Arabidopsis thaliana: one gene and its partner. The protein of the gene in region 2 interacts with the protein of the main gene of each other region in a pairwise test. Each region holds a gene or a part of one and is shown on either strand. Other genes may lie near its edges.

Region 1 (3,740 bases), on a different chromosome or scaffold from region 2:
TCACGTTTTTTTCAGTTTTATTAATGAGTTATTGACACGTTTATTTCGTTGTAATCGAACTATTTTACCACGTTTATTTAAGACTGATCAAGGAACATAAATATTGTTTGTTTTCTTTTTCTGATTTAGATATACATTTGGTTCATCTCTAGAAGAATTACCAATGTTGGATTTTACAAATGATTGTTGTTTGATTTTTTACAGAAAGTTTTGTATATTTTTGTAGTCCTTTGATTAATTGTAATTGTGAGATTTATTTTTTGGCTATATTAATAAATATCATATATCTCCTTTTTTTGATCAACTAATATTTTTATTTTTGTTTATTAATTTATTGATTTTAGCAATCACTTAATTAGTAAATCTTTTCTATGCACTACATGGACCCACATTAAATTACATTACTTAATTGTAGATATTTCAGTGAATCTAAATTAAATTTTGTAAAAAAAAATGTATTTTTATTTGGAAAAAATAATTGTTGTTAGCAATAAATTAATAGATACTATAAATGATTGTAAGTTTGTTTAGAAATTAAATTTACCACATTTGGCTAAAAATTGGGTAAATCACCATAACAGTATTCTATATAAGTAATTTATCTTAGACCAATTATGTAGCGACAAATGTACATTAGTAGATTTACTTCCTTGTTTTTTTGGGGCCACCTTTCGGCCACTTGATAAGTAAAATTTCTTTCTATTTGGGCCAAAGTAACTTCTTATTGTAGAACCGGTAACGAAATTGACTCAAACAACCCATGAGACTCACACATATTATTCCTCGCTGAACTGACACGTGGCATTATTTCAAAGAAGTAGAGATTTTTACCTTGAATGTAAAGATTTTTTATTTTAGTTTTTCCAAAACTCTACTTTATAGCAATTCAAAATTTTGCAAAAAATACTTTCCCTAAAAAACAGAGGATCTAGTATTTTACTTGGGTTGTTACAAAATTTCAAAGAAAAACCAAAACCCATTGTAAGACTTTTTCATCTTTTGCTTTTAACTAACAATATATAGTACATCAATATATATATATATATATATATATATATATATATATATATATATATATATTGAACTCAGCTCATAAGAGGGGAAAAAAGAAAGAAAGATGTAATTCGAATTTTTGAAGATCATTGGTCGTTGGATTATTGGAAAAGATAAAATGCTGAATAACAAACATATCACAAAAGAGATTATTAGATTCTTGAATCGATCTGATAGCTAACCACATCAAAGTTATTTTTTTGAATGAACCACACTAAGTTTTAATTTGCTAACGAGTTCGACATGATCTTACTTCGCCGTGAGACGGGAATGACACTGCGCGTTTTATCCTCGGCATCTTCTTGTCATCCGGAGCAACCACAACGGCTAAACTTTGGCAGCTGTTTTTCACCGTTTCTTCAGTTCGTTTAGTCGTCTCGGTACTCTGATTCTGCACCACACACGGTTCTTTGCTTGGAGTTGAATCCACAATCTGATCTGAGCCGCGCCTGACGAGAATATGAAGACCGATCAAGATGACAAGAGGAAGACACATCAAGAACAATGCATAGTAGATGATCCACCCGAATCCCGTGTGACTCTTTCCGTGACAGATCCACTCAATGACTAAAGCCATTCCTGAGGTGAATGTAGTCAAGCTGCTTAGGACAAAAACTTTGACAATCCCCGGATTCGGAATTTGCAAGAAGGCTCTTGCGGCGCCAAGAAACCATATCTCTTGTGACCGTTGATGCGTCTCCACATGCGCCACTGTGGCTTTCTCCATCATTTTGTTGTTGTTTATGCTTACTTTGTGTTTTATTTTTTGTTCTCTCCTCTCGGTATAAAAAGAAACTAACAAGTGAAAGAAAAAAGGGGTAACAGATTTTGCTATCAAAGGGGTAACAGATTTTGATTTTTAACTGTTACGATTTTATTTTATTTTTTGAGGTCAAAACACAGATTTTTTATGCAAACCATTTTTGCCCATCCAAAAGATACACATAACAATGGTTTTACCATACACAACAAAGAACAAACTATGGACAATAAAGACAAAGACAACACCTAATCTTAAGAAGACGAGAGAAACATACTTGGACTGTGTAAACAACAGAGGCTACTTGATAGTGATGTAGCGGTTTGTCCCGTGCCTAGCCCAATAGTCTTTAAGATCAACAGGACACGAGAGATCATATCCTTCTGCTGATAAACGGCTGAGTAATCTCGAGAAAACGTTTCCGCTCATTTTCCTACCGCCCATCCGAGAATGCCTCTTGTTTGGCATCTGCGGTAATGGATACTGGGATAAGGTGGTTGTGCAGCAAGACGATTGCCAGCCGCCATTTCCCCATTTGTAACACTGACGCGTAGAGCCTGTGCACGAACACATGGGTACAGGCATTGTCGTCTCATCGAAGGTGACTAAGTTCAAACCGACATCTTGACTGTCCCAATCTGTTCTAGATTTCTTTCCAGGAGCAGGAACTCGACGGTTCAGATCTTCACCCACTTTTTTCACCTTTGATAGTCCCTGCTTGTTCTCTTTCTTCCTTTTGTTCACCACCTTCGTGTTTGTAACCTCAGGCGGAATAGTTGACAAAGGGAAGACTTCAAGTTTGTGGGGTTCCCCAATACCAAAACAATCATCTCCATCAACACACTTCCCACCAGACAAAGCAAAGTTGAGACTATTTTCATGGTGTTGAAGAGCAGCATAAGCATTATCTCTCTCTATCAAAGCTTTATCTCTCTCAGAAAGAGCTTTGTCACGTTGCTGAAGCGCTTCGTCCCGAGCAGCGACAGCTTCCTTTTTAGCAGAGACAGCTTGATTTCTTTCATGTACAGCAGCGTCTCTCTCAGCAAGGATGGACATGATCTTCTTATTCATCACCAACGCATTATGTTGTTCCTTAATCTGATGCTGGGGAATCATATTCCACTGTAACAAACATTCTTTGCTTATATAACTTCAATCACACTAACAAAAACATATCTTTAGGAAACCAAAAATCTTAAGTCTTACCATAGATTGTGCACCTTTGAAGTAATCGGGCTTGAACCGCGCATTATCATACTGACCACCATTCTCCATAACTCTTATAATCTTCAAACAGTGAAACACCGAACCAATCAAGCTTCTCCTCCAAACACACTCAGCAACAGTGAAACCAAATTTCAAACATTGTGATTCGATCTATGAAAACAATTGAAGAGTAAGAATTACAAGCAGATATTAGCACACTGAACTCGCAATTCACTATCTTCAAACAAAATCAAAACTTCTCGAATTGATCTGCCAGTTAGGGTTCCGCAATTGATTCAGATACCAAAATCAATCTGAGCTAGTCAGAGAAACAGGTCTTAAGGAACAATTTTACGAAAATTGGAATAAATTAGGTCAAGATCAAAAAGGTCGAATCAATCTAAACCTTCCATGACAAGAGATTATTCCGCGAAACAATAGAAAACAAGGGTGAAACTGAAATTATAAACCCTAGAGATACAACACATTCAAAATTGATTAACAAATAAATTAAAGAGAGGAAAAGGCGCGAAAGCTTACGAATTCGATGAGCTTCTGGAAAAAATCTGGGCAAAATGGATAATTGATCGAGAAGAAAGATCCAAAGGGTAGAGAGAGAGAGAGATAGTGTCTCTGTCCGCGAAGAAGCTCAATGTACTTACTTCGTCATTTACCAAATTACCCTCTTCTCTACTACTAAACAAGAGAAATCAAGGGTATA
Region 2 (6,574 bases):
ACAAAATATGAAAGACTTATCTACAATAGATCATATATATCGAAAATTGAGTAAAAAGTACTAATGAATAACAAATTTATGGTGGTTTAGTAGTTGAAAATTTCACTAGAGTTGGAGAACATGATATGTATTGTCTCATTATGATTTCAATCTAGGTTGATTACTAGAAATTTAAAGATTGATATGAGTTTTGGTTCGACATTTTCTTGTATATAATTCAAAAAATACTAAAACGTTTACATTTTTTTTTATTCTTTTTCATGATGTATTACAACACTATGTACATGGTACGTGGTCTAAGAGCTGGACCATGAAGTCTTCTTTCCATTGATATCTTGCGTTCTGAGAATCTAAAACAAACAAAAAAGCTTTATTTTTTACCCTCCAAAAATACTTATTGACGCATTACATATGTTTAATTTAGACTTGGTCAATTTGGTCCCTGGATTGTTAGATTACATCATTAGAACACTGATTTTATTATAGTTGACCTAGCAAACAATCGACTTGAATTTTCCCAAATGATTGTTCTAAGTTTCTAATACCATTTTTTTTATAGTATCATATTGCCACTAAATCACAATTTTTTTTATCATTTATACATTAAACAACAACAAGAAAAAGATATTCGAGGACGTGAAGTTCATGCAAATGTGTGTGTGTAGTAGTAGATATGTTCCCATGATTTTCAATATATAATTTATCAGTACATGCATGTAGACACATTAATATAGATATCGGAAATTCAATTTATACTAAATTTGAGTAAATAAATATCAAAACAAAGGGGATAGATGATATATTAATTAATTAATATAAAGGTGAGGGGATACAATGTTTCAAAACTTATTATGATGAAGAAAAAGGTGAAAAAAGATGTGTGCATAAGATTCAGAGAAGGTTTCTCCCAAGTCTCCGTCTCCATCTAAGTCTGGTCTCAGCTTTGACTTCAAATTCTTTCATATAATTTGAATAATACTGAGGGAAAGATGTCACTAATTTATTTTGAACAAGTTAATAGCAATATTGAAGCGCACCATGCATAGCTATTGAATTTTAGCTCAATACTACAAATCAACGAGATCACGCTATTGAAAGAATTCGGTAGAAGTTATTCTTTGGTCAAATATAGGCAGCCATGAGCCATTGAATAGTTTTTGCTTTACAATTTTACTGTCGTTTTCAGTTTATCATTTCCTCTCTCACTTTTCGTCAATCAATTTTCTTTATTACAAATCCCTAGTAAGATTCTAAGAAAGTACGTGCGCGTTAGTAGAATCCAGGAATCATTCCTTTCCTTCATTTCTCCAAAAAAAACCTTTTTTTGGCATTCTCATATTTTATAATATTCTCTCTCTTCCTAAAAATTTGATGTTTTAATTTTTTCTGTTCCACAAAAATTGATGATTATTATTTATATTGTTGACCAATAAAAAAAAAGAGATATAATTAATATTATTAAAATAACAAAACAATAATATTAAAATATAAAATTGTTTTTCTTAATTTGTGTAAAAATTTCATAACATCAAATTTGGTGGAATAAAAGAAATAGTTTTTTTCATTTATCGTATTCAAACTATACTAAGTTGTATATTTGGAGACATCTATAGCTAGCGGGCTAAGTTTTTGATGGATCAACATAGTGTATGCAATTTATGCAAATATACTTTTGGTTTTAGGGTAATATTTTTTTTCATTAATGATCCATCTAACCTTTTTTTTTTTAAAGAAAATTGATCTATCTAACTTTTACCATAATATTTCATTGATCTTATTGACAAACAAAATATATATAATTTTGACTTTAAAATGATTATTCTAACTTTCTGTAAAAAAAATTAAGGACAGTTTTTTTTTTGACAATCACAATTAATATTGAAAATTAAGATTGACAGGTTTTGAATGAAGGTCTAGGTGAAAAAAATAAATTATATTGAAAATTCTAGTACTCTAGATATGCATAGTTTAGTCAAACACAGAAATTGGAAAGTTCAACAAACAGAAATTCACAGTTTAATAACTTCACAGAACAGGAAAAAAAACATTTTTGGAAACATAGACCTTATAGTTTGAATTATATAAGAAATATGTATACTATACTGTTTGCATGACAATTTAATATTCTTTATATTATTCACACTACTTTCTTAGCATATGAGCGGTTGTTGCATGACTAATATAAATCACCACATTATTTATATACACACATATACAACGTAGTAGTTGTGGTGTATTTAAATATTGAAACGGCCCAAATAATTCATATCAAATTTTCTTTGAGAATCTTTAAAAGGTGGTAGTAAAGAAAATTTGTTATGTAAAAATATATCTTAATTAATTACCAATTAACACTCTTGTTATATTTACATAAAGATACTGAATTTCCTTTTTGAAATTCAAATAATTACTCTGTTTTAGAAGATTTAACATTTAGATTAATGCTGTAATAAATAAATAAATCAAAATCAAAGACAAAAAAACGTGACTCTAACATATTAAAAACGCATTTCTTAAGCAAATTCTGACTAATTTCTAATTACTGTCTTGTCTCTAATAAATCTCACGAACGTCTTCTTCTTCTTTCTTCTTCTTCTCTCGTTACTTCTAACACAAGAGTCTTGTTATTGAGTTCTGAAAATGAACCAATCCGACTTAGAATCGACGACGAAGACGCCAGTCAACTTCAACCTCTGTAGATGAAGAGGTTTATCAACTCAACCGTGACGTTTTCCGTCACCGTCACCATCGCCGTTATCATCTTCTTCCTCTTGTCTCCCGTCACCTCCTTAGGTTCAGGCTCAACTTACGCAGTCGTATACGGCTCCGACACCGTCTGCGCATTGATCTCCGGTCAACCCACACAACGTATCCTCTGTTACGACACGCGTCTTAATATCAACGTCACTCTAAACCCCGGCGTCTCATTCTCCTCAATAGCCGCCGGAGATAATTTCCTCTGCGGTATACGCTCCGGTGGTTACAGCCTTCTCTGTTGGGATAACATCGGAAGCTACTCTCCAAACCGGAAACGAATCTACCAAAACGACAACGTTTTACTCGAGACTCTCTCCGTCGGGGATAAACAAATCTGCGCAACCGTTAACGGTACAAATTCCTTAAAATGCTGGAGAGGTTCCGTTTCCGATCAATCAAAACCTCCGAACGAGAGATTCCGATCAATTTCATCCGGCGTTGGTTTCTCCTGCGGCGTTTCGATTCGAAATAACCGAATCCTTTGCTGGGGAACCGATCCGGTTAAATCGAATCAGATCCAAACCGGATTCGGAAACACGCCGATGGTGACCATCTCCGCAGGTAAATCACACGCTTGTGGATTAAACACTACTGGGAATTTGATTTGCATCGGAAACAACGATTCTGGTCAGCTCAATGTTATTGCTCCAGATCAACCTAACCTTTACTCATCATCTCTCTCTCTCGGATCAAATTTCACCTGCGCGATGCGAATCTCGAATAATTCTGTGGTTTGTTGGGGCGGAGGAGCAGAGAGATTCAACAATGTCACGGATTCGATCTCTTTCGAATCGATTTCCTCGGGTCCGGGTCTAATTTGCGGGTTGATTTCAAGTAATCTCTCAATCATGTGTTGGAATCCTACAAATTTCTCCAGAATCTTCCTCCCTTTCCCAGAAGTTTTACCAGGTCCTTGCGTTGAATCATCATCATCCTCTCTTTGCTCTTGTGGTGTTTATCCACAATCTGATAAGCTCTGTTCTGGTACTGGCTCGATTTGTAAATCATGTCCGATTCAATTTCCAGCGAGTCCTCCGAGTCAATTTCCTCTTCCACCACCACCACCACCACCACCGCCATCACCGTCAACTTCATCTCCACCGTCGAAAGCTTTAACAAGAGGATTATTAGCGTTTGCGATCGTTGGATCAGTTGGAGCATTTGCAGGGATCTGTAGTGTGGTTTACTGTTTATGGACTGGAGTTTGCTTGGGGAAGAAGAAAGTTCATAACTCGGTTCAACCGACGATAACTCGCGGTGGTTCTAATAGCCGGTCTAACAGTTCGAATAGCCGGTCGTTATCTATAAGACGTCAAGGATCGAGAATGCTATCAATGAGGAGGCAGAGAAGTGGAACATCGTCGATGAAGCACGCCGATAAAGCGGAAGAGTTTTCGTTCTCCGAGCTTGCTTCGGCTACCGGAAACTTCTCTCTAGAGAACAAAATCGGTTCGGGGAGCTTTGGTGTTGTTTACAGAGGTAAACTCAATGACGGGAGAGAAGTAGCGATCAAACGCGGGGAAGTAAACGCGAAGATGAAGAAGTTTCAAGAGAAAGAAACCGCGTTTGATTCGGAAATCGCGTTTTTATCGAGGCTTCATCATAAGCATTTGGTGAGACTAGTTGGTTACTGCGAAGAAAGAGAAGAGAAGCTTCTCGTTTACGATTACATGAAGAATGGTGCGCTTTACGATCATCTACACGACAAGAACAACGTCGAAAAACATAGTAGCTTGATCAATTCTTGGAAAATGCGGATCAAAATCGCGTTAGATGCGGCTAGAGGAATCGAGTATCTACATAACTACGCAGTGCCACCGATTATTCATAGAGATATTAAGTCGTCTAACATCTTGCTTGACTCTAATTGGGTCGCTAGAGTTTCGGATTTCGGGTTATCATTAATGGGTCCGGTGCTAGGGAAAGATCATAATCCTTATCAACGTCCAACGAAAGCTGCGGGGACGGTCGGATATATTGATCCAGAGTATTATAGTCTTAATGTTTTAACGGATAAGAGCGATGTGTATGGACTAGGAGTGGTGTTGTTAGAATTGTTGACCGGGAAAAGAGCGATATTTAGGAACAATGGTGATGTGGAGGAGGAGGAAGGGTGTGTTCCGGTGCATTTGGTGGATTACTCGGTTCCGGCGATAACGGCTGATGAGTTGAGTACAATTTTGGATCCGAGAGTTGGATCACCGGAGCTAGGTGAAGGAGATGCGGTGGAGCTGGTGGCTTATACGGCTATGCATTGTGTGAATGCGGAAGGGAGAAACAGGCCGACAATGACGGATATAGTAGGGAATTTGGAGAGAGCATTGGATTTGTGTGGGGATAGTCATGGGAGTATCTCTAGTGGCATTTGTTCTATTGTCTCTGATTGAGAGATTAAATTCAAACAAATTGAGTCTCTTCTCTTTTTATTTTTACATAGGAATTTTTTTTGAAGATTTAATTGTTCTCTTAAATATTTCTGCTTTTTTAGATGGTTTGTTTTTTCTTTGTTTCATTTGTATTTTGTAAATAGTTTAGCGTAGCTGCGTAGGAGAAGTTGAATATTCAATAGTCGTGGTCTAACCTTTTTTGGTTGGGAAATGTATAATTTGGACAGCGGAGAGCGAATGATTAAAGTTGGAATTTTTGGTTTATTGTTTTGTATGAGAATTATGATGTCGTTCTTTTGGTCAAAACGTATTCTTTAATTTATGTGTAGATAATAATGGCTCTGTCGTGGATTTTTGTATTAGGAAAAGTTTTAATAAAAATCCAAACTAATTTTAATTTAGACGTTTAATATCTAATATTTTTTTATTAGAATAAAAATACTTTATCTAATTATTTATAATTATAAAATACCTCATATATATATATATTATTGGTAGAATCAAATTCGGCCGTTAACGGACGTAACGTAAATAGTTAACGGTGTTAAATTTTAACCCCTCCATAGTACAGAGATATATTTAATTTATTTCCTGAAATGAAGATAAAATCGATGTGGTCTGTTGGTAAAATGCTGAATTCACTATCAGCAAGATCTAGGTTCGAGACTGCCCAGAATCTTTAAATATTAAATTTTTGTTTTTTTTTTCTTTTTCGCCCTAGCGCCGCCGTCGACCACCATCCCGGAGATGATAGCACAATTGGAGGATTAATTTGGTCACAATTATAAAATCCCTACTCTCTTGAGGGTGGGGGTTCTTCTTCATCCTCTTTTGCGATTGGGGATGAGAGCTTTAGGGTTTATTGTAAAGATTAGGTGAATGAAAAGATGATTGGATATACGAGAGCTATAATTAAATGATATTGGTGTAACAATATGTGGTGATTGGAGATCGATCTAGGAGCAGAAGAGTCTAAAAACCTTGAAATTTCGGAATTGGAGGCTCTTGTTCATGGGTTAGATGAAGGTATCATCTCTCTGGGAAGTGGTCGCGGCGGGGAAGGAAAGAATAAGAAAAAAAAATTAAAAAAACCTTATCTAGATTCGAACCCGAGTGTTGCAGGTAGAATTAAACACAATTAACCACTGGACCACAACGATATCATCTTATATGATATAAAACAGCTTGTATATATCCGTATGGTTAAAATTTAACGACGTTAAATGATTATGTAACGCTCGTCAACGGCCGTTATATCTCGGGTTTGATTTCACCAATAGTTTATATATGAAATATTTTATAACCACAAATAATTAAATAAGATATTTTTATTTTAATTTAAAAGTATTAGGTATTAAGCGTCCAAATTAAAATTAGTTTGAGTTTTTTTAAGGATTTTTTCCTTTTTTAATTATATTCTCTCATTTTGT

What was found.
Region 1: the proteins of CCR3 (region 2) and AT2G21237 interact in a protein complementation assay, tested with the Arabidopsis thaliana proteins (one large-scale study listed by BioGRID).

What each region holds. Positions count from the first base shown.
Region 1 is NC_003071.7:9,099,402-9,103,141, forward strand, and holds AT2G21237 (uncharacterized protein), read right to left. Parts: upstream 1,815-3,740; 5' UTR 1,784-1,814; coding exon 1,283-1,783; 3' UTR 1,135-1,282; downstream 1-1,134. Other genes in the region: BPC4 (basic pentacysteine 4), read right to left, coding at 2,114-2,935, 3,020-3,088.
Region 2 is NC_003074.8:20,752,473-20,759,046, reverse strand, and holds CCR3 (CRINKLY4 related 3), read left to right. Parts: upstream 1-2,356; 5' UTR 2,357-2,699; coding exon 2,700-5,144; 3' UTR 5,145-5,482; downstream 5,483-6,574. UniProt on the Arabidopsis thaliana protein: Serine/threonine-protein kinase.